Notamacropus eugenii: one gene and its partners. The protein of the gene in region 2 binds, or shares a complex with, the protein of the main gene of each other region. Links are inferred from orthologs where the notes say so. Each region holds a gene or a part of one and is shown on either strand. Other genes may lie near its edges. The genes, in order: DCP1A, MAP3K5 and DAB2IP.

Evidence for each region.
Region 1: MAP3K5 (region 2) and DCP1A share a complex: the UniProt entries of both Homo sapiens proteins name them as parts of the cytoplasmic complex. The link is inferred for Notamacropus eugenii from reciprocal best matches to the Homo sapiens genes MAP3K5 and DCP1A.
Region 3: MAP3K5 (region 2) and DAB2IP share a complex: the UniProt entries of both Homo sapiens proteins name them as parts of the cytoplasmic complex. The link is inferred for Notamacropus eugenii from reciprocal best matches to the Homo sapiens genes MAP3K5 and DAB2IP.

The regions. Positions count from the first base shown.
Region 1 is NC_092874.1:478,411,113-478,421,582, reverse strand, and holds the start of DCP1A (mRNA-decapping enzyme 1A), read right to left. Parts: upstream 5,062-10,470; 5' UTR 5,007-5,061; coding exon 4,872-5,006; intron 1,211-4,871; coding exon 1,170-1,210; intron 68-1,169; coding exon 1-67. UniProt on the Homo sapiens protein: Necessary for the degradation of mRNAs, both in normal mRNA turnover and in nonsense-mediated mRNA decay. Removes the 7-methyl guanine cap structure from mRNA molecules, yielding a 5'-phosphorylated mRNA fragment and 7m-GDP.
Region 2 is NC_092873.1:223,164,122-223,174,594, forward strand, and holds the start of MAP3K5 (mitogen-activated protein kinase kinase kinase 5), read right to left. Parts: upstream 4,671-10,473; 5' UTR 4,346-4,670; coding exon 3,859-4,345; intron 1-3,858. UniProt on the Homo sapiens protein: Serine/threonine kinase which acts as an essential component of the MAP kinase signal transduction pathway. Plays an important role in the cascades of cellular responses evoked by changes in the environment.
Region 3 is NC_092872.1:442,772,970-442,783,560, reverse strand, and holds the start of DAB2IP (disabled homolog 2-interacting protein), read right to left. Parts: upstream 4,704-10,591; 5' UTR 4,165-4,703; coding exon 4,044-4,164; intron 1-4,043. UniProt on the Homo sapiens protein: Functions as a scaffold protein implicated in the regulation of a large spectrum of both general and specialized signaling pathways.

The DNA of each region.
Region 1 (10,470 bases), on a different chromosome or scaffold from region 2:
TGGTTCCACGAGGTTTGTCATATTCAGCCGATTCACAATCGTGAAACCATGGAAAGGAGAAGCTGACCTTAGTTTTAACAGAGAAAAAAAGCCATCTGATCCTGGGGCATTGGATTTTTGTTCAAACTGCAAAAATGCCCACCCTTTCATTTCCATTGCAATCACTACATGAGCATGTTACACAGAATTATCTAGCAATGACTAGCCAGGGTGAGAAACATGAAGACAGCAGGCTTCACCTTCCAAAAGGGATTCTCATCAGCCTGGTCCTACGGCCTAAGACACATAGCCTAAGGTCTCACCACGGCAACATCTTACAGCGTCCCTCTGTGAGGGACGTCTTCTGCTGAACTTTGCATTACCACAAGCAATGGTTATAATAATGATATCAGGACTCTGAGGTTTATAATAAAGCATTTCTTCACATGAAGTAGAGGTGATGTGTTTGAAGTGATGAATTTTCCAGGACTGAGGAGGAAAGTGAGCCTGCAATGGGATCGCTCTAGACAGGAGTGCACAACTCCCCAAGGCCATGCCCTGGCTGGCTCTGTTGTGGCATACACACTATAGTTAAACAGTGACTTGAAGGCCAAGTGCACGTGAAGACCACTCAGGGACTGGGGACCTTTGTAACCTCATTAAGGCTTTCTGGGAAAACCAAACATTTCTGATCTGTCCAGAGTAAGCACCACCCATCCACACCATTCAGGGTAAACTAAGGCAGGTGATCTCCAACTTGGGAAAGAAGCCTGGATTTCCTCTGAGTAACTTAAACTACAACAGGACAAAACCAGGCAAATCTCATTTACATCACATATACTGACTCAATGTGTTTCAAAGAGGGCTTCTGAATGATACGAAGAAAAATAGAGTAAGCCTGCTATACGAGGGCTTTGTTCTCACTGAGCTGTATACTTGAGAACATACCAAAATACTGACTTCTTTTCTAGTTCTAATTTCACTGTGTCGGCCCGGTGGGCCCACACATTCTGGCTATTTAGTCTTGTTCCTTCAATGATACAGCATAGGACAGAATGAGGTAACAAATACAGGAGGAACCAAAGGGAGGAAAATCTTAATACCCTCCTGGAGCAAAGTCGTTACAGCCACCATGATTAAACTTTAAAAGGTAAACAAAAACTTGAGGTTTGGCATTTAAAAAATCTCACCTTCTGTATACAAATAAGGTCCCTTCTATGTCAGTTTTCTCCTGCAATGAAGATAATTAAAAAGACAGTTATATGGAATTCATTTTACTTATATAACCTACCTCTAAGTAACTGCTCATCATTCTACCAATGCAATATTAACATTGGAAAATCAATTTTGAAATGTCCTAGAGACCTCACTGGCTTTCCAAGGGATTTGTTTTCTTTTTAAAGGGTGAAAACTTGGATTGAAAGCTATTTTATTCATAATTAGATAATTCCTAATAAGATTATTCAAGCCAATCCCCTGGTTTGCTGTGGTCGCTGCTTTAGCGCACCACTCCAAGAGCATCTTCCCTTTTCAACATTTACCAGAGTTGGCAGGAAGAAGGGAATGTTGGCTTCTATACTGGGGGCAATTTCTTTTGTTTGGGGAGTTTTGCTCAAAACAAACAACTAGTGTCAAACACTTTATTTCTCCTTGTAATTTCTAGTTGTGATAAACATATTGAGACATATGCTTTTTAAAAAACAAAAACACTTACAGATTTTCAGTCAGCATGATGTGCTAAGAACATTGGCACTGTAAATCCAGTCTCAAGGACTTATCTGCCTGAGCCTCCCAGGGCCTCAGTTTCTTCAACTGTAAAACTGGGATAACAAGACCAAAGGGTGTAAAACAGAGGGAATCCCAGATTTCCTGATTTTACAGAGAAAGCAATGGGAGGCCCAAGCCTGAGGACAGACCATTGTAATTAGTTGTAATTAAAATGGAAATTTTACAACATTTTACTTTTAATAAGGTCAGTCCTTATTGAAAACCCACTATTCTTTACCATCTTTGCTTTCAAGAAAAAGAGCTTTTAGTTTGGACATAAGTACAATGTGAAAGTGGTAAAAAGTCCTTATGCATATTTTGTATGAAGAGAAGCCGTTGAATTTTGAGGTGACCTCCTTGATTTCTTACAGGTATACAACACATGTGAATGGAATTTTAATGATTTGTTTAGAGACTTAGCCTTTTTTCATTTTCCTTCTTTAAGCCAGAAGTCTTTAAAACTTTTAAGCTGAGACAAGAAAAACCCCATGAGATCAACTCTTTCAGAACAGCAGGAAGCATCTCCTTCAGTTTTCCCCAGTAGGAGCATGCTCCTTCTATCCCAGTGCTCCCCTTCCCCCATCACCCATGGCCTCCCTGAGACTCTCCATACTCTCCTACACAACCAGCTCGTCCTTTTGGGGTCTCTAACACCACTTGGCCTTCATCACCCTTCACTGGTACCAAGCTGCCCCTCTACCCTTTGGGAAGTGTTCTCATCATTCGATGTCTCCCAACATACAGTCAGGAAAACTCATCTTTCTGAGCTCAAATCTGGCTGTGTGACTTAACCTTGTTTGCCTCAGTTCCTCAACTGTAAAATAAGCTGGAAAGGAAATGACTGCCAAGAAAACCCCAAATGGGGTCAGAGAGAGTCAGACATGACTGAAACTAATGAACGAAACCAAGCCAGGGAGGACCAGTTCCCAAAAGCACCTGGAATCGTAAATACCCCAGCCAGGCTCTGCTGAAATAAAAGTGAGGATGGAACTAGCCAGCCTCAGAGAACCACAAGAACCTTCACTTGGTAACCAAGCTTTGACTCTTACTTATTCACATCAAGTTTAGAGATACTATAACTATGAAAGGAAGCAACATGGCTACATACTGCAATCCTGGCCACCACCAATGGGTCCCCAGTCCTTATAGCACAGAAGAGGAATACTGTATACCTTGAAGAAATAAAGGAGATACAACCAGGTGGAAGGAGGGTTTAAAAGCCATTTAGTAAAACAAAGTGTCCAGCTAAGATTCCTGCAACAGTGTTTTATCTTGGGATACATTATACAGGCTTCCAACACTTTGTTAGATCATTAGGAGGTCTGTAACATTACTGATACAATCAGCTGAGCAAAAAGTCACATAAGTTTGAAGGGCTGGTTTGAACCTTTAAAAACCACCCAGGAAGAACAGAAAACACATTTTAAAAATATTTTTATTATCTTTTAATTTTTTCACTTAAACTGATTTTCTCTTAAATCCTGGTAAAATAAAATGCCTAGGGATCAAACTGGGCAGATGGTTCCCCATTGGGTTCTCTGGAGCCTGGGCTCAGAACAAAGGAGTGGCCCTGGCCTTTAGGGAGAACATCAGGGGGAAACACTGGCTTGTTCATCTAAAATCCCCGCAGTGTTCAGAAATTATTCTGGGATGTGGCTCCATACTCCTTCATGCCCTACTCCCTTGCCCCCATGTCTTCTGGGCCACTTTGGGCCAAAAGGACCTTGGAAACTATGAGTCTTCCCAGACTGGATGCCCTTTGATGAGTCAGCATCCTTGTTTGTGAAGTCTAGGGCAGGCCCCGAGGACTTGAGCTCCGGATCAATCAGTCAACATTCATTAAAGCCTACTATGTGCCAGGCACTGTGTTACAGAGTGGGGATATAAAAAGAGGCAACAGTCCTGGCCTCAAGGAGCTTCCAACCTAATCAGCCTGAGTTTTATCGTTTACTAGGCGGGGAACCTCATGCTGACACTGAGAGGAAGCATTTTCCTTTCTTATAAAATGAGGAGAGAGCATTGGAGTGGGAGTCAAACCAGGGTTCGAATCCAGCCTCAGACCCTTCCTCCAAAAGCATGGGTGAGTCAGTCTGAGAAGCCTACAAAGACTTGGCCAACCTAAGTGTCAGAAGGGCAGGAAATCACAGATTCTTCACCAAATGACAAACAGGTGGGACCCTGGGGCTACATCCAGATCTGGAAGAGGCCTTAAAGGCCTTCCTTTATAGGGAAACTGAGGCCCGGGGGGTCAGATACCTGCCCAGGGAGGCACCCTAATAAGTGGGATGACATTCCTGGAGGGATGAAGTAGCCGCATGCCAACCTCACGACTCTGGGGTCCCCAAAGCTGGGGCAGATGTGAGCAGGGGGGTCACTAGCGGCTGTGCCGCAGGACAGGAGTATGTCCGCACGCTGCCAGCCAACAACTCAATCATTCAACAAACTCAACAAACCAAAGCCATTCAAAGAGCGTCCCTTAGGCAGCTCAGGAAGGAGACCCCCAAAGGGTCCTGGGCTTCGGACTTCAGACTTCGGCCGTGCCCCGTCGCCCATAACCGGCCCCCCAAACTCCCCCATACAGTGGGGGAGGGGCAGCCCCTCAAACTGCTCTATCTAGGCGTCCATCCCAACCCAGGGCAGCACTTCCTTACAGGAGATGAATGTAGAGGGATCTCCTCATTTTAGAGATGGGGAAACTGAGGCACAGGGAGAGGAAGGCGCTAGACCTGTGCTCCCATGCGGTGACTTGTCCTGGGTCACCGAAGTCGGCTTTGGTTAAGGCAGGATCTGAACCCAGGTCCTGTGGCCCTAGCCCCCCCATGGCGGGCCTGTATACAGTTGTTTGCTTCTCTTGATAGCTCCAGCGCCTGGCATACAGTGGGCGCTTCATACGCGCTTGTTCTTGGTGGCGCCTACTGTGTGCGCCGGGGGCTGTCTGCGCTGTCTTCTGACAGGGGAGGGCACGGAGGCCCGGGCAGGGGGCAGGACCTTCGCCCTAGGCCTGGGGCGGGCAGGGCCTGGCTCAGCGAGTCGCGGCCCAGCCCGGCGGCCGGCCCGGGCCTCAGTCTCCCCGGCCGCGGAATGGGCGCAGCGGCCGCGGCGGCGGGCCCGAGGGCGACACTCACCCACTGGTTGGCCTCGGGGCTGAAGGTGTAGAGCGCGACCTGGCCCGTGAGGTCGGCGATGCTGGTGATGTAGGGGTCGTGGCGCCGCAGCGCCGCCAGGCTCATCTCGGCCCCGGCTCGACTCCCCGCCTCCATCTTGGCCGCCCCCCCCAGTCAGCGGCCCGGCACCGGAAACTAGCGGGCGGGGCCTCCCATTCAAACCTCCGGGGCCGCGGCGCTGACGTCACGGATCACGCAGGCGCGTTGGCCGTCTCTGACGCCGCTGACGCCGACGCAGAGTGCGGGCAGCTCCCGACCCCTCCCAGGAGGAGGCCCAGCCTCTTCCTGTCCCGCCCTCCGGCGCCGGATCCTGCGTGACCAGCGCGCGCGGCGAGCACGAGCCGGTCGCCCGAGCATACGTCACCGGGGGCGCCCCTGGCGCATGTCCGTTGGGGCCCAAGTCTACCTGGGTGGGCGCCGCCTTGGGCGAGCGAGCTCCTCGGGGGCGGGGCTGGCTCCTTGCTGGGAACCTTGGGATGGAACCTGAGCTTCATGATAATGACGTAATCATGAGGAATGAGACCGTGGCCGCTGCGGCGCGGGAGGCTGAGCACGACGGCCGCGAGGGGGCGCCATGGCACGGGGAGCGCTGGCCCGCAGTCAGCAGGGCCTGAGTTCAAATCCATCCTCTGACGCTTCCTAGCCGGGTGGCCCCGGGCAAGGCCTTGCACCCTTTCTGCCTCAGTTTCCCCATCTGTCAAATGAGCTGGAGAAGAAAGCGACCAGCCCTGCGGGGAAACCCCCAGCGGGCGGAAGTCGTGCCCGGGGGGCGCCGCCCATAGGACGTGGTCATTGTCGTTCATTCGCAGCCCCTCAGCCCCTCCCCCAGCCGGGGTCCTCTGTGGGTCCCCCGTGGGTCCCCCGTGGGGCCCTCGGTGTCCTCCTCTCCCCCGGGAGGGGGCTGACCCCCGTGTTACTGCCCTGGGCCGGGCGGGGCAACGAGGAGGGTTCTACAGACGGGCAGTCCCGGCCATGCGTGACGTCATCCGTGCGGATAGTGGGTGGGGTCCCAGACCCCCCCACCTCCCCCACCCCTCACCCTCCTTGGCCCCAGGTCCGGGGTTCCAGTGTGGTTACTCCCCCTTTTTACAGAGGAGGAAACTGAGGCCGAACGTGCCTGACTCGCAGGCTGGCCTTCCTGGCCCGGCCCCCGCCAGGGCCGGTGGTAGCCCGGCTGGGGACAGGCCTGGACGAAACCGGAGCGGCTGCCCCTCATCCCCTCGGCTCGCTCCTCCGCAGGTGGGGGAGACAGCCCAGCGGGGGGCACTCCCAGTCCGACCCCTCGCCTTACAGAGGGAGAAGCAGAGGCCTCGGGAAACGCGTGACCTGGCCACGATGACGTGGCTGGCAAATCCTGGGGCCAGGATTCCACGTGGCCTTTGGGAGGCAGGGGGCAGGAGCATCTTGTGTTAGGAACAGCAGAGAGGCTGGGGGTGTGTGTGTGTCTGTGTCTGTGTGTCTGTGTGGTGAGGTGAAGCGGGGCAGGGGGCTAGGGATTGAATGCCTGAGGTTTTTCTGTTTGGTCCTGTAGGTAATAGGGAGCCACTGGGGTTTATTGAGTAGGGGGAAGAAAAAGAGGCCAAAAAGCAGGGACTGAGGACACTTGTCAACAGCTAGATCCTACTCTGGTCTTTGGAGCAAAGTGTTATATCCTGCTCTTTATTATTTGGAAGCTAAATGGATCTTACAGAGAAAAGGATTTCCTTGATATGCCTAGAAGCAGGACCAGTACAACTGCAGCCGGCCATGACTTGTCAGTTGAACTCACCAAGGTGACCCCCTGCCTTATAAGCGTTCCATAGAGTCGGAGAACTTCAAATGAGAAACATAATGATATTGAAGAACTGGGTGGTGATGGTCTCATCAGGCTGCTCTTTGATAAAGCCTTAGCTGGACTGGGTGAGTCCTTCAGGGCCCTTGTCTTACTGGCTAGGGAGGGAGGGGATAATCTTTTATGAAACACTTCCTGTGTGCCAGCCCAATATAGAAAGAATCTCAGCTGTTCAGGCCAAGTTTTCTGACCTCCTCCAATGCTCTTCCTGTTATATGACCCCTGAGAAAGTCTTACATACTTCTTGCCTCTCCAAACCAAGCCTTAAACCCTCTGGGCCCTAAGATATCCCTGGGAAAAGGTTCAAGGCCCTTATTCTCTGATCTGTGTTTGGGGCCACCTGCTTCTTTACACCAGAGTTGTAATCCAGATAAGGACTTGGGTGTTACAATGACAGTGTTGACCCTCTCTCTTCATGGAAATTCGTTCGGATCCTTAGCAGTGAACAAGCCTTTATTACATGCTTCACCTGTGGCTCCAAGAAGCTGTAGCATGTGCAGTGGCCACAGCACAGTAAAACCACCTTGGCAGGGTGAACCAGGTTGAGAGTGACGGAGGGGGCCTCAAACCCACTGATGAGTTAGGGCAGTGTCCACCCCAAGCATGTGAAGACTTCCCCTGCCAGAATGGGCAGATGAAAACAATTTGTTCCAGTGGCCATGAAGGTGGCTGAAGCAGGCACTGTGGAATGCTTAGAGGTTGTTCAGAAATGAAGATGCCAAGGTCACCCACTGCATCCTAGGCCATGCCAGTCATCCTGACTTTTGTCTTGTCATTGGACTTTGATGACTCAGGAAGAGAGTGAGGCTGACAACTTTGGGCAGCTCTGCCTCACTTAAATCCAATTCACCCATGAATCAAGACGCTACTCTGTAATGTCATTGGTCCTCTTGGAAAATGAAGGATGAACAAAAAGTTATGTTCTCAGCAGGCATTGTGCTAAGCACTAGGGATACAAAGAAAGGCCACAGCATGGTTTCTACCCTCAAAGAGCTCACAGTCTAATGATGGAAAGAAAATGCAAGTTACTGTGTACAAATCATAGTTATACAAAGAATAATTAGAAGGTAATCTTAGAAAGAAACTGCTAGCATTGTGTGTGGAGGGAGGAGGACTTGGAAACAATAATAGCTAATGGGGGGTGGGAGGGGAGGAAGGGAAAGAGAGAAAGAGAGAGAGAGAGCATGCAAGCTAAATAGTTATATCATTTTATCCTCACAATAACCCTGGAAAGCAGGTGCTATTATTATGATCCCTATTTTACAGATGAGGAAACTGAGATAAATATCTTGCCCAGGGTCACACAGCCAGTAAGGCTCTGAGGTCAGATTTGAACCCAGACTTGTTCTTCCTAACTGCAGGGCCAGCTCTCTACCCAAAGCACCATTAAGTTGCCTCCTACCAAAGGTGGCATTTGCAATTTTTCTGATGGATGAGTTGGGGCAGGTTAAAGGCTGGGACTGAGGCATTCCACCTCAACAAGGATCCAAGCAGGAACCACTTTCGCCTGTTCGGGGCTTGCTGTGTGTCAGGCACAGGTATTCAGAGCTAGAGATATCCACCTGACTGGCTTAGCTGCAGACAAACTGATCTTCTCTGGGGGGGTTGATCCCCCTAGGGTCATCCTGTTTTCAGGGTTTTGATCTACTTGCTTCCTCCTGAAAAACTAGAGTCTTAGGGGTTATTTTGTGATGCCATTAGGGAAAGTTCTCCAAGAAATACTCAACATGAATATTCAACAGAAGAATTAAACAATTATCACCTGCCAACTCGAAATGACTCTTCTTCCTACCCTACTCTTTCTTGGTAAAACTAAGTCAATCACTTTACATGCACCTGTGGGATACACGGGCCTCTTTCTCTTTGACTAAATTTAGTTTTTCTCCCACACAGTCTTCTGAAATAATTAAAGTGGTCTCTTTATTTTCTGCCTGGTTAAGCAACATCAGCAGATCTGGAAGAGTGAAGAACACAACTTATTAATAGCATTATTTACATTTTCAGTAGGAAATGGCTTCAAAGGAGAATGGGTGGAGATCTGCCCCTAGACCTGTCTAACAGCATTGAAAATTGTGAACATGAAGGTCCTTGTCCACACTGGGAATACTTGAGTAGCAAATACTGATCTTGATTCATGCTGAAACCTAAAGGTTCCCCCAAAACAAAATATGACCTTAGGAATCCAGGGACATTTGAAACTTAGAGTGTGACAAGTCAGAGGGAATTCATTGAACCAAGGAGAGGTTGAGTTGACTGGGGTGATAGAAATCATATTTTATCAGAAGCAGCAATCAAACCCAGGTCTTCCTGACTCCAAGTCCAACATTTTGTCTACTACAATGGAGAAGCTACCTCTTTTCCAATCCCATGGTGCAATGCTGCAGTGCCACCTCTCCCACTTATATAGAATTTTAATGTCCTTTATGTGCATTATCTTATCCTGATGCATTGTTAGGAAACCATATTTTCTTCCTTAATTATCTATGTGACCTTGGCCTACTCACTGGAATTTGCAAACCTCAGTTTTTTCATCTGTAAAATGAAAGGGCTGGACTAAATTCCTTGGGTTCCTTTAAGCACTATTCTATGAAATCTCCTTAGGATTCTTCTAATCTCCAGATATCCCTTATGTGTGAATATCTTAGGTATGTGTCTTTATACCTAGGATAGTGCTATATGTACAAATGTTGAAATAATTATAGGAAATTATCTAAAATATGTAGAGAAACTAAAGTTTTATACTACCAGAAATTTAGGCATCTAAAAGACTTAATCCTACCCTGGTGCCACTCTGCCTGGAATTCCTGTCAGCCTGCCTTTATCAGAAAGTCATTCTAGCCACCAGACACTAGCAGACTGAAACTCAGATAGCTTGGTTGATCCTGAAGAGAGGAGCCCAGAAGCTAGTAGGTGGGTAATAGGCATTTATTAAGTAGCAGGGAGCAATGCCCATACTAAGCAACCACCACAACACGAAAGGGGACCGCAGGCAAGGTGTTCATCAGAGGTGTCACACAGATAGGGAGCAAGTTCCATGAAAGCAGGTTGATGATATCACCAGAAGATATTGGCAGGGTATGTCTTAATACGTCTTAATGCTCTGGCCACATGTATTCCTCATATATGTCCCTTTCATACCCCATGCCCATTCTCTCTGCAGATGGTATGTGTACTTTTGGAAGTATGCCCTATGTTCATGGGGAGTGATCTTGTGTTATGAATTTTCTGATTTATTTGATGAAATGCCTTTATTTTTGAACTAATTGTGCCTCCTGGCTGACTAGAGAAAAAGTAAGCACATTGATGGGGGCTCATGAGTTATGGCTGTGATTGGGTGTGGAACCACAGTACTTTGATCTTAGGAATAGTTATTCTGGGGACCCTATGGGTTGAAAGAAGGTCGGTACAGCATGTTTATGGGGACAGACAATTCACTTCAATTTGGCACATCCCTGTCTATGAGCAATGTTTGGCATCCTTTCAGCACTGTAACTTTCATATTTGGTTACTTAATCTTCGTTTTGAAAGTTTTTCAGTAAGGTTCTCTGAAGAGCATTCTGTGTTCTCCAAAAATGGAATTTTTTCTTCCACAAGTAGAATGACAAACTCAGCCTTTTACCCTAATACTTGCCTCTCCTCCCATCTTCCCTGTTTTTGTTTATGGCAGCAATTTAAGATCAGAGAATCATGTTTCAAGCTGGAAAGCAGTTTTTATTCTAAGCCCATCAC
Region 2 (10,473 bases):
TATAGCCTAGCTCCATGGACATTCCAGCAAACAGAAGGGACAACTTTTATCGGGAAGTTTATATTAAAATACAAATTCTGAATTCATGGAGAACATGGACAAGAATTTCGCAGGAGGAGACAGCATGGATGGATGGCTTGTGATCTGACTGACAGAAGGAACATACAGATGGATGATAGTGTGGATTAACTGAAGTCTAAAGTGCTGGCCACAGTAAAAAAAACAAACAAACAAAAACAAAGACAAAAGGGCCATGTGCTTGCTTCAGGGACCAGAAGATAAAGGGTTCCCATTCTAGGGTCAGGAGAGAAAAAAGACCTTGGCTAGAAGCAATTAGCTAGCATTAATATAAATGGGGGTTGCTAGGTGGCACAGTGGATAGAGTTCAGGGCCTGAAGTCAAGCATATTCACCCTCCTGAGTTCAAATCTGGCCTCAGACACTTACTAGCTGTGTACTCACACACAGGGCAAGTCACTTAACCCAGTTTGCCTCAGTTTCCTCATCTATCAAATGAGCTGAAGAAGGAAATGGCAAACTACTCTAGTAGTTTTCCCAAGAAAACCCCAAATGGAGTCACAAAGATCAGAACATAACAGAACAGCAACAACGTAAATGAAAGCAAGTGACTGAATCCTTGAGACTCACTGCAGAAAAGAATAGGAAGAGGGTGCCAGTGCAGGGCAAAAAATATACCAAGGAGCTTATATTGGGTGGTTCTTCAAGAGTATCCTGGGAGGAGGCAACAGGGAGAAAAAAAGGAAACTTCTGTCAGTTTGCAACCACTCCAACCTCCCTACCATTATTCCCCTCCCATCCTAGCTCCCATTCCCCATGAGTCAGTCCTCGCCCAGTCCAAGGCAGTCATGACCTGTGGCATAGAGCTAGGGAAACACCTGCTTAGAGCTAGGGTAGGGGGAGGGGCGGGGCAAGGGATAATATGTTACTAAGTTAGACCAATTTTCCATAGAAACATTTTTGGATTCTATATTTCAAATACATACATATAGTCTTGCTTAGAAATGGGTTTGCCATTTATAACATTCTTTCAATGGCAAATGAAATCAAAATTCTAAAAAAAAATTCTAGAAACAAAATATAAACACTTCTAATGGACACTTCTAATGGCAAGATGGTCTCGTCTAAACATTTTGTTTCCTCAGGGCATAACATAGTACTCTATACACAGAAGGCTAGGCACTAGCTAAATCTCTGTTGAATAATTTAGGATGCAACCCATTTGTAAATTAGACATCATGAATAAGGAGAAAGTATGACATTTCTTACTATTCACTGAATTCTACTGAATAAAATGTTTGTTACCATGGCACTTCCTGTCTCTGTAGCGATGTTTTCTTAAGCATGTAAATTTGGAAAATTTCCATGAAACCAATAATATAGCAGGAGTTTCAACACAAAAGCTAAGAAAGGAAATAATGATGAAAGAACTTTAAATGCTGGCAGGGAAGATGTTGGGAAAGAATACAGATGACACTGTAAGATGATACTTGTTCCCAAAAAAAGTGAAAGTTGTACCTCTTAAAATTACCGCACAAGTTTGAGAATAGTTAAAAAAAAAGCCCCTTCCAAAGTCTGATCTAAAAATTAGGATAATTAAATAATATTCATAGGGGGAAAACCAACAATCTTTTTAAAAATCAGACCCTATATTCAAAGAATATATTTGTATAAGCAAGTAAAAGGAAACCCATCAATTTTTTCTCCAATTTTCCAAAACATGAAGTTCCCAATACATTTGTTCAAATACAGCCATTCTTTAAGAGTAATACAATGCATATTTGCACTTTCATAAACTACTTCAAAGTTATAATTAGCATTATATTAATAATCACTGCAGTTTAATTCATAGCCATTATATCGCCTTTGCTGGACCTGTTTAACTCTGCAGATTCAACTTTCAAATTCAAGACAGATGATTTTTTTTTTTAAAGCATCAGAGGGGATTATTTATTGTTTTCAATTCTACCATTTACCACCTGTGCAACACTGGGTAAAACACTTTAGCCTCTCTGAGCCTCAGTTTCCTCATCTGTCAAATGAGGAGACAACTAAGCAAAGGTCCCCTTCTAGCTTTAACTTAGCCATTTATAATACATTCCTAAAATCCCAAGTTGAAACTATGAGAACAATTTCCCAGAGAAACACTGTTAGATTCCACATGGGAATAATAGGTCTACAACGCTAATGGGTGCAGTTTCTTTGTGTTTGGCAACTATAACCATCAATCAGTATTTGGTAGAATATAAGCAGTAAAAATAATCTTATTAAGACCGTGTTTCCAATTAACTTAGGAGTTAAGCTTCCAGAGAGTATAAAGTAGGAACTTTTTAAAAATCCACCTAATACTGCAATAAGACTAAATATAGCAAAGAAAGTCTTTCCTTGATTTGCACTATTTTTGGTTACTTCTTTACTATTTTCCAAATTTTGTGCTCCAAATAAAAGTTACTTTTTTTTTAAGGTTTACATAATTCAGATAGCTAGCAATAATGCATGACATGTATGTTCAGTTATGCAGGCCAGCACTCTAGCAAATACCAGAACCAGAAAGACCTACTTTTATTTAGTCTGTCTTTCCTAACATGAAGTTCTTTTCCTTATTTTTGAACTACTGAGACATCAGCCATGGCTGAATTCCAACACTGACATAACCACCCTTCAGGTGTTTTGAAGAGCCTGAATGGAAAGACAGGCCTGAAAACAAGTCCAGAATCTAAAGCCTTTTATGTAAGCACATACACTCGATGCTTACTGCACTGAAATTGCTTCAATCAGATTTTAACCCAGTTACATTAATGCAAACATATGGTTTGACATGCTCAACAGTGTACTGATGTTCAAAGGGCCACAGGAGGTTAATTTCATACGTACATTCCTGAAAATATTCTGAATGTTTCAGCTTATCTGTCAAGAGAGGGCAAACTGCTTCAGTTGCTAAACAAATTCCCCACCTCTCAAACTACTGTAGCAGGTGTTAGAACAGTACAATAAAATTATTTTTGGAAGGGATTATGGGAGCAACTGCTTTAATTACCTATAGTTCAACTTGATCTCATGTGGGCTCTCAAGAAAGTCATTAACGTTTTAAACAATGTGTAAATTGATAAATGTCCCAGGATACAGCACACACAGTTTGGCAAAACACTGGGTTCTTTCCCTCCAACAATGTAACAAAGACAATAGAGAACTTGAGTGTTTGTTACAATGTCATTACTGCCCTAGAGAACAAACTTAGAAAATGCAAGTAAGTGGGGTGTCTGAATTATAGTCATCAAAACTTAAGGTAAAATAAGACTGGGAGGAAAAATCAGTCTTAAGACAAAGTGCATGTAGCCAGGTTGGTACTGTCTCTGAAGCCTGTTCTCTATCTCATACTCTAAACCTAAATGAGACACCTAAAAATCTAGTGAAGAAAAAGGGAGGTGAGAGGAGGGACCGTCAACTGAAAGTACCAAACACGCACCCTTAGAAATGGTGAGATCAACACCAAAGATGGGGACAGAGGTGAGTGGAAAAGACTAAATATGAATCCCAGGGAGAAGAAAGATTGGTATAGGGCTTAAGCTCAGCACAACTTCAGGATCCTAGAGTTCCTGGGAGGAGAGGAAAAGAGGACTCCCTCTTTCACATTCCCAGGGAAAGGAGAAACGTTCCTTCTCAAGTGCTGCCACACTCAATATGTTAACACCCTACTAGGCACTCTCTCGGTACAGGGATACAGACCAGAAGAGGGGAGCTGCTCAAGCAAAGAAAAAAATAAAGTGGGGGAAGGGAGAGGAGGAAAGAGCACCCATAGAAGGAGGAAGAAGAGCCGCAGGAAGGCTCCCATCTCGCCCACCTGCATTGTAGAAGCGATCCAACACCGCGGTTTCCCCGAAGTCCAGTTTGCCAAAATGCAGGGTCTCCAGTGCAGCGCCCACCGCCTCGCACGCCTCCCGCAGACACTGCAGGGCCTCGCTCTCCGCCACCACCAGCTGCCCCTGGCTCGCTTCGTTAATCACATATGCCACGGTGGTTCTACGGTTGCCGCCGCCAGCGCCAGTCGAGTTGCCCCGACTTCGGGGGGCGCTCGGGGGCCCACTCGCCACCGCAGCGATCGAGATCCCCCCTGGACAGGCGGCCGAGGTGCCGCTGCTCTCCACATTCCAGAAGCTGCCGGGTGGCGGTGGCGGTGGTGGGAGCTGACTCCCCTCTCCTGAAGCAGCAGCTGCAGGCGCTGCTGCTCCTCCTCTTCGGCCGCTGCCGCCCTCCTGGAAGGTGCAGAAGCCCGGGGGGCTGAACGGGGGCACGGGGAAAGTGATGCCCTCGCTATCCTCCGCGATCATCTCTTCCAGGGGCTCTCCGGCGGCCGCGGTGGGGTCCACCCCCCAGCCGCCCCGTCTCGCCAGCCACAGCTCGGGGCTGCTCCGCGCCCGCCGGGCTAGGCAGCTGCCATCTCGAGCTGAGCCCTCACCGCCGCCACCGCCGCCGCCTCCACCGCGGCGCCGCCTCTTCTCCGGCGCTCTGTCTCCCGGAGGGACGCCGCTACCCGGCGGCGCTTCTCCCCTCCTGGGCGCCTCCGTGGCGGTGTTTCTAGCTCGATGCAAGGCTCGGAATAGAAGGGGTAGGAATAAGCTGTTGGACGAGAAGGAAAAAAAGCGCTTCCTCCCTGTCTAGGGCTGGCCGGGCTCTTAGCAGACCTGTGCCACGGGGCTGCCAAGAGGCTCTAAGCTCCGGAGACTCCGTGCGCCACTGACACCATAACGCAACGCCAGCTGCTCTCGCGGCGTGCGCTCTCCTCTCCGCGGCGCGCTCTCTGGGGACCACGGGGGTTTCCTCTCCCTTCGGGAGAGTCACCTGGCTGGCACCTTACCGAAGGGGATTGCCGAGCGTTGTACACGCACACCAGAAGCCGCAGCCGAGAGGATCCGCCTCCCCAGTCAACTGCAGCTTCCTTCTCCTCCCCTTCCCTCTTTTCTCTTCCGATCGTGGCGGCCGCCTCGTCTAAGCGCCGGCCCGCGGGGCTGGAGGCGTGCGATTTCTTCCAGCCGCTTGTCCCCTCTGCTAACTGCCTTCTTCCCGCCCCTTTGCTGGAGCCCGGAGAGTCTGGGGCCAACCCCCGGGGGCGGGCGCTGCTGGGAAGCCCTAAACCGAGGTGAAAGCGACGGTGCTACCGGTCATCAACGCTCCCTAGGTCAGTCTACAGGACTGGTGCTCAGCTAGAGGTTGTCTGTTGCCTCTGGTTTTCACCATTCAGCTACCTACCTCAGAAGAGGCTTTTTACGCGAGCCCTCAGTTACTTCAAACTGCGGGGGGCTCGTACAAAAAGTCTCTCTTGCCATTGCTAAAGTCGTTTTTTGCTGCGGTTGGTGTCTGATGAGACGGTCCCCGCGGCCATGGCGCCCTCCTCTGGTTTCTGTTTAGCTCTGCTCTCCTGTTTAAGCTGTGACTGCCTGGCCTGAGAACTCGTGGCTTGCGCAACCATGGCCCTGATTTCAAAGGGAGCTGAGCTCCGAGGCGGCGGAAAGCCTTGTCTGGCCCCGAGGTTTGTGCGTAACACATCTGAGCTTGGACTCCGGGACTAGCTTGTGAAAGATCTGAGGTGGTCCTGGGGTCTTTCCTACTCATTTTTGAAATACCGATGCGAGGATGGGGGGGGGGGGGGGGAGGGAATAAACATTTATTAAGAGCCTACTATGTGTCCGACACTGTTACAAGTGCTTTACAAATGATCCTCACAACAGCCCTGCAAAATAAATGCTATTATTATCCCCATCTTACAGTTGAGGAAACTGAGGCATTTGGCCAGGTTTGAACAACTAGTAAGTCGTTAAATCTGGATTTGAACTCAGTTCTTTCTGACTTCAGGCTCAGAGCTCTAGCTGCCTCTAGGTGGATCCCTTCCCCTTCTCAGAATGTTTTTTAGATAAATAAAATAAAAAGCATACAAGGAAATCAATTACATTAAAATTATTAATGCGTGTGTGTGTGATTTAAGACTTTTGGTTAAAACCTCTTGGATTAGATGAATTCTAAAGTCCTTTCCAGCTCATACATTCAATTGTTGTGCTGCCTCTCCTCTAATTTTTACATAAAGGCTAGGTACCCCTTGGTCTGAAGATCCCCAGTTCCCCAAGGAATCCTAAGATATGGAATAACGTCTTCATTCAAGTTAAGACTTAACATGTGCCTGTTGACACTCTAGCTCTAAAGAGGGGAGGGAATACCTATTATGCTGTAAATTATCCAGGAGTTTGACCTAGTAGCACAGCTAATCCCCACATAGAACATATAGAATGTATCCATTGACCATGGGAAAGGCATTGGAGGGTCACTTAACCTTGTTCCTCACCCATGGTCCAGTTTGTCACAGAATCTGAAGTCAGAGGTTCTGGGTTCAAATACCATCTCTGCTTCTATCTTTGTGACCTTGATTAAGTTGCTTCTCTCTCAATTTCATTAGTAAAATTGGGGAAGTTTATACTAATTGATAAGTTCCTTTGCTAAATCTAGGCAGTGAAGGGTAGGGGTCTGTCTTTCTAAAGCAACAGCTCACAAGCCTCCACCTTTGTAATTTCTCCTATAACTATCGGTTTGTTCTGTTGTTTTTCAGTTGTATCTGACTCTTCAGTGACCCCATTTGGGGTTTTCTTAGTAAAGATACTGGGGTGGTTCACCATTTCCTTCTCCAGCTCATTTGAAAAATCAGGAAACTGAGGCACACAAAAGTGACTTGCCCAGGATCACATAGCTAGTAAGTATCTGAGGCCAGTCATTCTGACTCTAGGAACAGCTCTGTATCCATTGAGCCACCCATTTTAGACTTTTAGAAGGGAGTACTGGGCAGCTAAGTGTTTCAGTGTGCCAGGTCTGGAATAAAGAGAGAGAGAGAGATGACTCAGAGTTACTGGGGAAAGTCCTCATTTCCCCCATCACTTCTCCAGGAGTGCTCATGAAGTTTCCATCCCATTAGGCATGGAGTGATAACAGCTTTCTCCTGGACTCCTGGTAGTCTTTGCATAAGACAATCCAGTTAAGTGACTTGCCCAGGTTTGAGCAGCTAATAAGTGTCAGGTGTCTGAGGCAAGATTTGAACTTAGGTCCTCCTGACTCTAGGGCTAACGCTTTATTCACTGTACCACCTAACTGCTCTGCCTCTTTATAGTCTAGAAACATCATTTCTTCCCTACATCTAATTTGTGGCTTCTGATGTAGACTGTAGCTAGCTGTAGCAAGGACTCTGCGAGGATGCTCATGGGAAGTTCCAAATCCTCTGGATCCTTCTAAGCCCCCAAGATTCTCCTTCAACCAGAAAAGGTGGGAGGGAAGAGTCTGAGACTAAACCTAAAGAGCTTCCCAGGGTTGTGGTTAGCTGAACTTTAACCATTAAGCAGACAGATGTCCCAGTGCTTGAGTTCCAAATCTGGTTTATTCTATAGAAAACCCACAGGGCATAACCAAGTCTCTTCAATCAATCTAAATATACTTCCTTTTCATACATTCCATTTCATACAATGAATTTCAAGCACTTCTAAGTTGATCGAGGACTTTTCATACCTATTCTAAAGCCTTTCATTGATTGTTTGATCCACAAAAAATGACAAGGTCTTCCTTGTCCACACCTAGTTCAGACCTCTGATTTATTGGTTCAATAAAAGTTTTATTACATGACACAGGTATGGGAGGGGGCATAACACCTTGTCTGTAACTTAAAATGGAGTGGGATGACTGGTCTGGTTCCATGCTTATGTAGTTTACTGACTCTAAGTTGGGCCTGGGGTTCTAGAGGCCCCAAGGGGTCCCTCTACTCTTTGTTCAGTTGGGTACCAAGTGATAGAACAGCACTGGCCCTGGATGAGAGGGGGGTTTTGATCCCTTTTTTACTAAAGAGCTATGAACCTTCTACTATGAACCTTCAGTCATAATTCCTAAAATCTGATAGCCTCGTGCCACAATAAAGGAAGTATTCTAAACCGGCTTAAAGGTAAAATGAAAAAATTATGGACAAGTATAACCTAGTATAGTATTCTCTGAGCAAACTACTAGTCTATAATATTTTAGGGATGTAAAAATCTACATATCTTCCAGCCTCACTACACATAATGGGTAATGTACTACAATAAATATTGGTAAATAAGCATTCAAACAAGCAACTTAAAAACTGACTACAGTACAACTGTAGTTTAAAATAGAAGAAGGAAAAAAATCCAGAAGAGAGGGAGGAAGGAAAAAAGGGAGGAAGAAAAGGGGGGAAGGAATGAAAGAAAAGAAAAAAAGGGAGGGAGGAAGGAAAAAAGAGGATGGAAGGGGACAAAGATGGGAAAGAGGGAGGGATTGAGGAAGAAGAGGAGTGAGGAAGGAAGGAAAAAGGGTGGAAGGAAGGGAGAAAGGAAGGAAAGAAAAGAAAAAGAAAGGAGAAAGGAAAGACATAAGAAAGAAAAAAAGGAAGAAGAAAGGATTTATTAAATACTCACTATGTTAAAAGCACTGTGCTAAACAATTTACAAATGTTATCTCATGGTATTATGATCGTCCTTTTACACTTGAGAAAACTAAAGCAGACAGAAATTCAACTAGTAAATGAGGCTGGATTCAAGTGCAGGTCTTTCTGATTCCCTGGCCAGCACTAGATCCACAGTCCCCTCTAGCTACCTCTAGTAGTTGCCGCTAGAAATCAGGGAACCACTACTGAGAGTCCAAGGCAGGATAGGAACTCTGGCCTTTCTGATTCCAGGTCCAACATTTTATCTATGTCATGCTGCTTTTCTAGGTGTTCACTTGACTGTATCATCATTTCAACCAAAGCCATAAAATTCCTAGGCATATGATGTCTCCATTAAATAGCCTTTTGAGGCTCTTTCCAAACTTCTTTTGAAGATTTTCATCGGAAACATCTCCTCCTAAATAAAAATGGTTATTATATGTGGTGTCATTCAGGTACTCTATCACTGACCATCTTTTTTGGAGACATGCATATGTGTATGCATACAATGTACATATACACATATGTGTGTACATATACATCTCTTTGATAATTCAGGACATCCTGAATATATAGTTTATATACATATATGCATATGTGTATAAACACACACATACACACACACACTCATACACATACCCCTGAGTGACTTTGCTTTATACCGTGAAGTTACCTATGAAGGTAAAGATGGGGGCAATCCACTCTGTTAGAGAAACAATCCAATGCACAGAAGCCATCGACATATGATATGACACGAACAAGGGTTCCCTTAGTCAAGTCTTCTGACACATATTCATAGCTGAGTCCTTATATACCAGCTTTCACTAACCTAAGAAAGAGAGTGCATTCACACACACACTCCACCTTTGGAATGTGATTCAGAATGCAAGAGTGGGCTCAGGAAGCAGGAATGTTGCTGTGGCTAGAACACTGTGGTAACATGCAAGGGGAGCTCTTGCTGCACCATAAACCAAGCATTCACCTCCTACAGTTCTCATAGTGTCTCACCCCAGTCCTGGATAAGCTCAGGATGTGAGGGAGTGGGCCAGGTGTGATCCATGATGTGCTAGTGTTACTGTGGAGGCCTCACAAACACTGACACAGGCACACACAAGGGAACAGAGAAGGGCACAGAAGGCATTGAGTTTTTTGTCTTTCTTTGTATCCCCAGGGCTTAGCACAGTGCCTGGCACGTCTAAAGCACTTAATAAATACTGGCTTCCTGAGGGTCTGAGATAGTGTTAAAAGGGGGAATCATAAGTAAGAGAAAGGTAAGAGAAATATTCTAAAGGAAGAATGGACAGAATTTACCAACTGATTAAAATTTGGAAGATGAATAAGAAGGAAGAATCAAGATGACTCCATGAATCTGAGGCATAGGCAACTTAGCAGATAGTGACATCAGTGGAAGAGAAATCAAAAGGAAGTTGTGGTCTGTGAGGGGAGAAGGACAGGGACAGTTATGACTATAGTGTTAGAACTAATAAGTCGGAGGTACCCAGGGATATCCAAGTATGAAGGTAAAGCAGGAAACTGGAAATGCCAGCCTAGAACTCTGGGGAGAGGTCAAGACTGGAAATAGAGACTTGAGGGTCATCTGTATATGAGGTATCATTGGTATAGGGAAGCTCAGATGAGGAAACACCCTCTACCAGAGGGCAGACTGACACTTTCTTGGCAACTCATATAGTCTTAGAAAGGTACCTAGACTTCCTAGAGCACTGAGAGATTAAGTGACTGGCCCTAAGTCTCATAGTCAGTATGAAGGGATTTGAATCCAGTCTTTCTATTTTCAAAGCCAGCTCTCTGTCCACAGAACAATATATATATATACATGATATAGCTATTTTTTAAAATGATAAACAATGACCACAAAGCATACAAAACAGTGAATGCTGTCTTACATAAAACCCTTAGCATTTAACATAGTTTTTGTTGGTTTTTTGGCAAAGATACCGAGTGGTTTACCATTTTCTTCTCCAGAAGGAAACT
Region 3 (10,591 bases), on a different chromosome or scaffold from region 2:
TGTGATGACTACAGTAGAAAATGGTGGGACTTAAGAATTCCTACTACCCTATCCATGAAAACTGGACCCCATTTACTCATTGGCTGGTGTTATCATTTTACCCTGTACGCTGATCTTACTTCTGATCCTGATACTTTGAGGTTCTTTCTCTCTCCTTTTCCCCACTCCTTTCTGTCCTAGTCTACCTAGTTTGAAAGACCAAGTTTTTCCTAGTTAAAGAGGCTGAAGATTGAAGTTTCAGCTCAGATCTAAGAGGAAACAGGAGGAAATGAGAAGGCTTAGAAACCCAATATTGATCAAAAGAAAAGCCACCATTTTCTGAATGGAAACTACAACCCTTTATTTCTCAAGATACATCTCAGCAAGGCTTTAACCAACTGATCTTACAGGGTAGGGAAAGAGTATCTCAGAAATTACTGGTCACTTTTCCTACCCCTCTGCCTCTAGGAAGAAGCTTCTAGCCAATCTTTTTATCCTCATTTTATAGAGGGAAAACTTGGGCCCAGAAAAAGAAAATGACTTGCCCAAGGTCACACATTAAGTTCCAGATTTAGAGCTCACTAAGATGACACTGAAATCAGTGACTCAGTCACTATATGAAAACATAGTGATAGCTACTACAGATCCGTACCCCTCTCCTCCTTGGTGCTCCTCTCTCTCCTGCCTACCAGGTTCACCTTGCCAGGCACATCTTTATAAGCAACTCCACCCGCTCCTCCCAGGAGCCTTGGCTTACCATCCCATCTTCACCAAAGACAGCTAAACTGGAAGGTGGGTGCCCTGGAGAGATGAGTGGACACAAAGGCAAGCATTGGAAGGGGGCATTAGCCAACAGGGAAGGAGGGAGTATGGCTTTTCAATCTATGATCAGTTGTCCTGAGATAGGCCAGTTATGCCCTTATAAGAATTCCTAGGCTTTCTTGTTTCTGATAGCAGCTAGCATTTCTAGGATGTTTTGATGCTTACAAAACACTTTCTTCACCAGTTTTACTATCCCCATTTTACAGATGAGGAAAGCAAGATTTTATAGAATTTAAGTAACTTTTGGATTGAGTGATTTTAGAGCTATAAATTTTAGACCTTAAAGAATATCTGGAAGGAAAGAATTCATGACCATACAAGACAGAGAGAGCATTAAGAGATATAAAATGGATGATTTTGATTATATTAAATTCAAAAGTTTTACACAAATAAAACCAATGCAACCAAGATCAAAAGAAAAACAGAAAACTGGGAAACAATTTTTACAGAAAGCATCTCTGACAAAGACCTCATTTCTCAAATATATAGAGAACTGTGTCAGATTTATAAGAAAACAAGTTGTTCCCCATTTGATAAATGGTCAAAGATTATGAACAGGCAGTTTTCATATAAAGAAATCAATGCTATTTACAGTCATATGAAGAAATGCTCTAAATCACTATTGATTAGAGAAAAGTAAAACAACTCTGACGTACTACCTCACACCTATCAGATTGACTAATATGACAGAAAAGGAAAACGATAAATGTTGGAGGGTATGTGGGAAAATTGAGACACTGATGGCACTGTTGGTGGAGTTGTGAACTGATCCAACCATTCTGAAGAGCATTTTGTAACCATGCCCAAAGAGCAATCAAACTCTGCATATCCTTTGATCCAGCAATATCACTACTAGTCTGTATCTCAAAGAGATTAAAATAGAAAAAGGCAAAAGGGCCTCAAAAAATCACAAGAGTTTGATATCCTTACTCAGAGGAGCCAGCAAAGCCTTCCCTTGAGAAAGAATAAGAGTGCATCTCTACAGTTTGATCTCAAGATCTCCCAAAAATATCTCTCTACCAGATTTGCCAGGGAGGCATCAGCCCTCCAACCTCCAAAATTCATGAATATGTAGAATGTTTGTGTAGAAAGGCACCTTGGAACACAGAATGTCAGGCTGTAACAATAGCTCCCATTTATATGTACTAAGGTATATAAAACACTTTAGTCACAACAAACTAGTAATGTGATGCAGGTGTGATCATTCCCATGGGACCCATAACTCCAAGAACTTGAAAGTCTTGATCAGGGTCACAAAGCTAGTAATATCAGAGCCGGGTCTCCTGACTCCACCCTGCTGCCTCTATAACATGGAACATTAGAACACAGAATATTAGGGCTGGAACAGATCTTAGAGATCATCTAAGGCAACCAGGAAGGAAAAGAAACTTGCCCAGGGTCGCCAAACTAACTATAGCCCAACCAAAACCAGACTCCAGTATCCTGATTCCCAGGCCAGCACCTTTCACTGTACCCATTGTTATTTCCAGAGGTAATACTAAAGCACAAACAATTTGAACCTTGTTCCCCCTTCTGGCACCTTCTCTCCACCCCCACTCCCCCCAAACACACACACACACACACACACACACACACACACACACTCACACACACCACACACACAAACACCCCCCCCCCCCCCCCCACACACACACACAGCCTTTCCTTTCTTCTAAGTTGGCCTCTCTGGGCCTTCCAGGTTATCTCCCTCCTCAATTAAGCCCCAGGAAAAGGAAGACCAACAACTCTTCCCCCTGCTGCCCCACCCCCCCAGATAAATGTCTGAATCACACATGTGCTGAAAATGAGGATCTTGTTACTGGAAAAAAAGAAAGCCTGGTTCCTCCTCCCTTTTCCCACTCCATCACCAGCTGTCCACTAGTGAGAAAAAAACTTGTATGTATAATGCCCAGGAAGAAAACTTTCCTAAACTCTCAATCTTAGCATCTCTGCCCCAGATTTGGGGGTCGGGGTTGTCAAACGGGGGTACCTTGCAGCCATTAATCTCCCTAAAGCCCCACCAGCCACCTCCACAAGGGCAGGAATGACTTCATGCCTCCCTTCTGCAAGGCCCTCCAGAAGTCAATCAAACACAGACAGACAGACAGACAGACAGACAGACACACACACACACACACACACACACATACACATACACACACAGAGTTAGGAGATGTTAGAGCTAGAAATGACCTCTGAGGCCATCCACTCCAACTTTTTCATCCCTCAGGTAAGAAACAGAAGTCAAATGATGTTGTCAAGGTGGACCAAAAAGTGAATGGCAAATCAGACTTCAGTTTCTAGGCCAACATTCTCTTTAGTTCACCATATTCATTACAGGTGAAATGTCACTAACCAGTATGCCTCTCTCCCTAAGGAAATCATCCAGGTTTTCCCTTGGTTACCCACTCCAGGGGACTGAGGAGTAAAGGGTAAAGGGGAAAAAAAAAAAGAAAAAGAGAAAATAGTAATCAAAACAGTGGGATCCCAGTAGCAGGATGTGGTGAGACGACTTACCCTAAACTAGCTGATCATCAACCACCTTGCCTTCTTTTGTGTTTCATACCACAGACCACTAAACTGAGGCCAAGAGAGGTTTTGAACAATTGACCTCAGAGGTCACAAGCAGCCAAGAATTACACATGTTGGTGTCCCCTCCAGCCAGCTCTCTCAACACCAGTCGTAGAATCAAGGAGTCCTAGAACTTTGGAGGTAGACAAAATCGTGCCCTATCCACTCATTTTTATAGATGAGTAAACTGAGGTTCAGAGTGGCTTTTAAGGGATTTTCCCAAGTTCATTCAATGAGTTGACTGCAGGTGCAACGTGGGCACGGAAGAAAAACACTGGATTTGAAGTCCAAGCTTCTAGTTTTAAAACCCAACACAGATATTGATTACAGTATGCCTTTGGACAAGTCCCTTCAACTCTTCTTTGTCCATAAAAGAAAGGTTTTTGAGTGAATAGAATCTAAGGCCTCTTCTATTTCTAATTTTATGATTTGAACCCAGGTCTCCTAACTCCCAGCCCAGCGTAATGTATTGTGCCCCCACCCCCATCCTCAAGAGACAGAGACCCATTGTGTTAGTTTTTGAAGCAGCTGCCAATCAGATTGTGGGGAGCAGAGGGGGTCATTACAGAAAGAATGAAGACTGAGCTCTCCCTAAAGAAGAAGCAAATGCTGGGGAGGGAAGGAGGTTTCAGGATAGGGATGGCAAAGAAGCCAAGCTCCAATTCTATTACCCCGGCTGGCTGGCCTGTTTCGACTCCTCGACCGGCTCCTCTGTCTCTGCAGACGGGATCGCCTCAGCAGCCGGTAGTAGTAGGATGGTCTCCCAGCACTTTTTCTGCCGCCGGCCGACATAATGCTCCCCCTCCTAGAGAGCCCCTAGCTGCCAGCCCTTCTTCACAGCTGCCCCCCCCCAGAGGGGTGGAGGGATCCAGTCCAGCTCTTCAGGGGCCAGGGGCCAGGGGATGAGGAGGACAGAACCCTGAGCCCTGGGCACACGTCCAAGTCAGGCATCGAGGACAATCTGAGAACCACAGAGAGGTCTTGCTCTATATCTCAGCCTCTCTGAGGTAGAGCTCCTGGACCCCCTGCTTGCTTAACTTAACTGCCCTGTTAAACTGTGGAAACAAATTCTTCCTCCAACGATAAGCCTGTTGGAGTTGGAAAGAGGAAGGCAGAGTTGGCATTGGCTCCCAGTTGAATGAGAAGGGGGTGACGACTGAGGAGGGGGGAGTAGGTAGCCTGAAAGTCAGTTTGGAAGAAATCCCGGACTGGATTATTGTGTTGGTTGAAACAATGAGTTTGGTCAAACGGGACTCCCCTTGGAGTGATGTCCACAAGGGGAGACGGAGAGGGATTCTATACCAGGGAGACGATTGTTATGGTATGGGAAGGTTACTGGAGAACAGTTATCATCCTTCCCTTTCTCATAATCCCTCCCCAAGAGAGGTCCCTTCCAACTCCCAAATCCCAGTATTCTAAGATTTATAAACATATGAACGGTACTCAGAAAAGAAGCACAATCTGTTAAAAGCAGCAGTGTATTTGGGGTCAGATGGCCTAAGTTTGAACACTTCTTTCTTACTAGCCATGTGACTTTGGTTAAGTCATTACCTCTGTGAGGTCTGTTTCTTCACCTGAAAAATAGAGGAAAGTAGGAACGGCTGATGTCTAAGGTCACGTTCAACTTTAGATCACCCAAGTCCAGAGTGGTCTTCCATTTGATAGCCTCCAGATCCAACCATTTAAAGCCTCTCTGACTGTCCAATAGTCTGTAGCATAATGCTTAGAAGAAGGCAGGATGGTGAGAGTGAACTGATTCTTCACCCAGGGTCAGTGAACTTAAATAAAAATTAATAACCATATTTCAATATAATTGTTTCCCTTAAAATCCTATATGTGTTTTATGCATTTAAAAATATTATTCTGAGATGGGATCCTTAGATTTTCCCAGATTGCCAAAGGGGCCCATGACACAGAATGACTATTTTAGAGGGAAACCAGACTGGAGTTTAACCATGATCACCAACCAAAGGCTGAGGATCAAATCTTGTGAAAGTTTGACACATACATACTTCCACACATACATACAAACACATAAAACTTCAGAGTAGGAAAAACACTAGGCTTGGAGTCAGAGATTTGAGTTCAAGTCTCTACTCCATTGCAACTCTAAATCCTGTGATGCATGCAGGCAGGCCTGAGGCCTTGAAGGTACAATGAAACAGGGAAAACTTTTGTTAGAACTTGAATGAACAAAGGGTCAGACAATACCAACCCCCACTCTCACCCCACAGGGACCTTTTTGCCCTGCCTGTTCAGAGTAAATAATGTGTGCACACCACACAGGCTAGGAAGTTGATCCAGAAATAAGGAAGCAAACATCCAAGGGAAAGAAGTAAAGAGAGGATGAGGGCCATAGACAGGCAAACCAGATGGGACTTGTTTTTCAGCTTGGGATTTAGAGTATTCTCAATCTGCCTTAACTGTCTTTCAGATTGATGGGTGGTCGACTAAGTGCCACTATACACACTTACATGAAATGATCTAAAAGGTAGAGTAGACCTTGGGACAGAGAATGTTGGAGGCATAAGGGATCCTAGAACAAAGAATGCTCAGCACTGTCAGGGATGGAATGGCCCTTGTGGAAGCCATGTATATTCACTGTACAGAGGAAGAAATGGAGGCTCAGAGAAGTGGTAAATTCCTCATATATCAAATAGAAATAACACTTGTACCAGAAGAATGGAAGGGGATATGCATTTATTAGGCACCTACTATGTGCTAAGCACTTTACAAATATCATTTCATTTGATCCCCCAACAACCCTATGAGATAGGTGCTCACTTGCCCAAGGTCACACAGGTAGTAAATATCTAAGTTTGAATTTGAACTTCGGTCTTCGAGTGTTCTATCCACTCTGCCACCTAGCTGCTTCTACCTATCACCTGTTTCTCAGGATAATTAGAGGAAAAGCATTTTGTAAACCTTAAAGCACTAAGAAATATAACTTTCTGTTATCACTGCTGTCCAAAGTTATACAGGTAGCCAATGACAAATCATTGACAGATCAGTCTGTCAATTATACTTAAGATACTCTAGTGCAGGAAGATTTAGGCTACAGCTCAATTCCCAGGTAGAATTGACACTAGAGAGGAAGTACAGAAAAAACAAAATCTTATTGGCCTTTTGGGAGAAGGAGGGGACAAGAAGCTAGACTCTGGATCTTCCAACAGCCCCACTGGCTCAGGAAAGGGTACTTGTTCAAGGAAAGGATGAGATATATAAAGAAGTAAATCGTTTGCACTCCAGTTAATCTGTAAAATTAGGACCCATGAGAAAATTATAAAGAGGTAGATTTCAGCTCAAAAAGACAAAGAACTTCTTAACAAAGAATGCTTTCCTGCCACAGAATGGGTTGCTTTAAAGGGTAATGAGCTAACCATCAGTATAAGTATTTAAGCACAAGCTAAGTGATCACCTGTCAGGCACAGGGGAGAGAAGACTAGTGCTTAAAGAGTTTAGACTACATCAGTGATGTCAAACTCAAATAGAAATGAGAGAAAGAGCAACTAAACCATACATGACAATCCCTGCAGGTTGCACATTGACTTAGAAAACCACATGCTAACATGATCTATATTTTATTGTACTTTTGTTTATTTTGTTATATATTTTCTAATTTTGTTAGACTTTTGTTATTTTGTCAAAAATTTTACATATTTTCTAATTACATTTTAATCTTTTTTGTTAAATTTTGTTTAAATATTCATCAACATTTAACTAATTAATTGAAATTAGCAAAATGTTGATTTTGTTTAAAATATTATACTTTGTTTAAAATGTTATATATTTTCTAATTACATTTTAATCTGGTTCTGGCACTGGGGACACCTCTGAGTTAGATGACCTTGGAGGTCTCTTCCAACTTCAAAACTTCTCGATGGCAGGATAGTATGGTTGTTGTATCATCAGCACTCCCACAGTGCTCATTTATAGGAGGTACTTGGCAAAAGCTTGATGGATTGTGTCTAAGATTCTGATGGTGATTCCCGTAGACAATGATAAAACAACATAGCAAAAGAAAAGAAATGGGGGGAGGAGTCTCTTTAAAAGAATCCAAAGTAGAACAAATTATCACCCCTTTCATGCCTATATAATTCACACTTTTCAAAAAAAAAAAAACCAAAAACCTACTACCTATCCTCAAGTTTCTGACATGATAGCTGCTTTAATTCCAATATTTATTCCCCAAGTTAATAAGTAGGATAAATGAAAATTGAACCCAGTTCTCTTAATTCAGTCTTGATCTTGTTTCCACTGGACTTTTCTGGTTATAGTGGAAAAAGTCCTGCTCTGTCACCTTCAGTAGCCAAGCAGCCTATTGTTCCTTTGCAAATTACTAAAAACAATCCATGCTTTTTATTCTACTCCCATGGTTGGTGTTGTCATCCCTTTATTCCTGGACTATTACAGTATTCTCTTGCTGCCCTCACAACGCCAGGATCTTCCCACTCCAATCCATCCTTGAGAAGATGGCAGGGTATTATTGTGAAAAGTAGGGTTTTCATATTATTCTTGAGTAAAAGGAGTGACAACAGGAGGAGTGCTATTTCTAGAGCACGTCAAGGTTTACAAAATATCTTATTCACCACAATTCGATGAAGTAAGCAATACGAGTATTATTGTTGCTGTTCTTTGATTTCAGTCCCATCCAACTCTTCATGATGCCTTTTGGGGTTTTCTTGGTAAAGATATTAGAGTGGTTTACCATTTCCTTCTACGGAGCATTTTACAGATGAGGAAACAGAGGCAAACAGGATGAAATGATTTGCCCAGTGTTACCTGGCTACTAAGAGTCTGAAGACAGATTTGAACACAGGAAGATGAGTCTTCCTGACTTCAGGTCCAGTACTCCATCCACTGAGCTGCCTAGCTGTCCATAAAGATTATTATCTCCATTTTAAAGATGAAGAAACTGAAGCTCAGAAAAAAGCACCCAACCTTGAGCATTTGAAAGTTGGTATTCTTTCCTCATTGTCTATCATGAATCTTTAATGACACTTCATTGTCTGACATATAAAGGTCAAATTCCTTAGCCCTCCACAACTTGGCCCTTTCCAACCTTGTTATCGTCCATTCTCTTTCACACACCATACATGCTGGCCAAACTATTCAACACATGTCTTGCTCTTTCTCATCATACCTATTTGCTACTCTCACTCCTTGGGTTTCTCTGCCTGTATCGTCTCATATTATACCCATCCTTTAAGAGCCAGCTCTAGTCACACACATCCTTTTCTCACTACCCCAAGGTCACAGTGAGTGCTCTTCCTTTGGTTTCCTATGTGTCTCATCTGTGCTGCTCATTGGGCATTCTATACTTGCTGGACAGGACTGGCTATCTGGGTTACAGGTAGAGCCATTCTCCCCCAATAGTCTCTGATCTCCTTCAGAGGAGGGAACCTCCTTTTGTATTTCTTTGCCTCCCAACCTGCCCAGTACAGAGGTAGGAATATTAGATTATGGAATTTAAAAATTGCGAGATAGAAAAGACTCCAGACATTTTCGATAGAAACTCTTCATTTTTATATACGAGAAAAGAGAGGGTCAAAGCTGAAGTGATTTACCCAAGATCCCACAGCTAATCAGTTACAGAGCTGGGATTCAAAACTAGGTGTCTTGATTACAAATCCAGTCCATTACACCAGCTGCCTTTTTTCTTTAAAAGTGCTTAGTTGTTGTTTACTGAATTGAAAGGAACTAAAATTTTTCTTACCATATAAGAACTTGTCTCCCAGTAACCTAGCAGGGGGGTTTCCTTGGGAGTTTACACTGGACCCTGACATTGAGAGCTCATGAGGTGGCCTTCAGTCCGGCCAAGCATGAGAACACTCCAGATCTCAGTCCATGGGCAATATTCCAGGCCAGGTTTTACAGTCCCTTCTCCTGCCTGTCAGTGAGAAGGGGGGCAGGACATGACAAGGTCAGGTCAGGCTGGGGAGATCACAGCTGGATGACAGGCGGCTTTCCCTATACTCTAACTCCTTCATACTCATCCCTTTCTCCACTTCCCAGGTAGAGAGGGCAGCATCCCTAAATCCTAGAATCCCTAGACAAAAAAACGATCACACATTTGGAATTGGAACAGAGCTAAGAGCTTGTAGTCGAACTCCCACATTTTATAGATGAGGAAACAGATCCTAATGGAGACCACTGAGACCCTAATGGGGAATCAGCTTGAAATGTGCCTGACATAGTCTACTTTGTTGGGCATCTTCCCTCCATGTCTTCTGAGGGGCAAGAGAGGCATGGAAAAGAGCTTTTGGCATCCTCTCTGCTCATCCACAGAGAAGTGCATAATTACCTACCCCTTTGGTCCTTGGGGTTTTACATTGTCCTCTCCTTGAAAACTCATCACTCCTTTCCTTCCAGGAGGGGTTCACAGGATAAAGGGTTGGAAAGTCCTTACACTTCATCTCATTCCACCCCTGTATTCAGCATATGAGGAAAGAGGCGTGAAGAGATTACATGACTTGCCCATAGCTTCTAAACCCACTAGCTTAGAAGTAGTCAGTCTAGGACTTGAAAGTCTTCTATTAGCACTGCAAGAAATTTTAGATCCCATCAAGCCCAACCCCCCCTCCCCCATGTCTCCACCCTCATTTTACAAGTGAGGAAACTGGGACCAGGAAAAGTAGAGTAACTTGCTCGTGATCATAGAGGTAATAAGTAGAAGAGATAGAATTCCAGCCTGGATCATTTGATACCATATTCAACAATCTTTCTACCATATCAATCTGCCTTTCTTTGAAGAAAAAGAGAACACTACACAAATGTGCCCTGTCTTCCCTGTTGTTTGGCCAAGGACTAGACCAGCCAGTTGCTCTGGATCTATCAGAAATGATCCGCATGCCCTCAAAACCCAATTATTCACATGTGATTTATCCACAGCCCATTCCAAACACCAGGTCCATCTCCTCCTCCTCTCCCAGACAGGAAGAATAGCCAGACTGAAGCAGGATATAAAGAAAGCAAGGAAAAGGGGCCCAACGCCCAGGAGCAAAGGGTAGTTGGGAAGAAGAGAGAAGAAATGACTCAGAACTGTTTTTCCTGAGAGTGAGAACAGCTCTGGTGTAATTTTTCTGTTCTCCCTGAGGGGGCTGGGTTTGGGACAAGGGAGGCCCTGGTACAGAATCATATAGTAATAGGGGCACTATGAATGGGGGAGCTCCCTTCAAGGAGAGAAGCAGAAGTTCTTTGAAAAGACACAGGTTTTTCC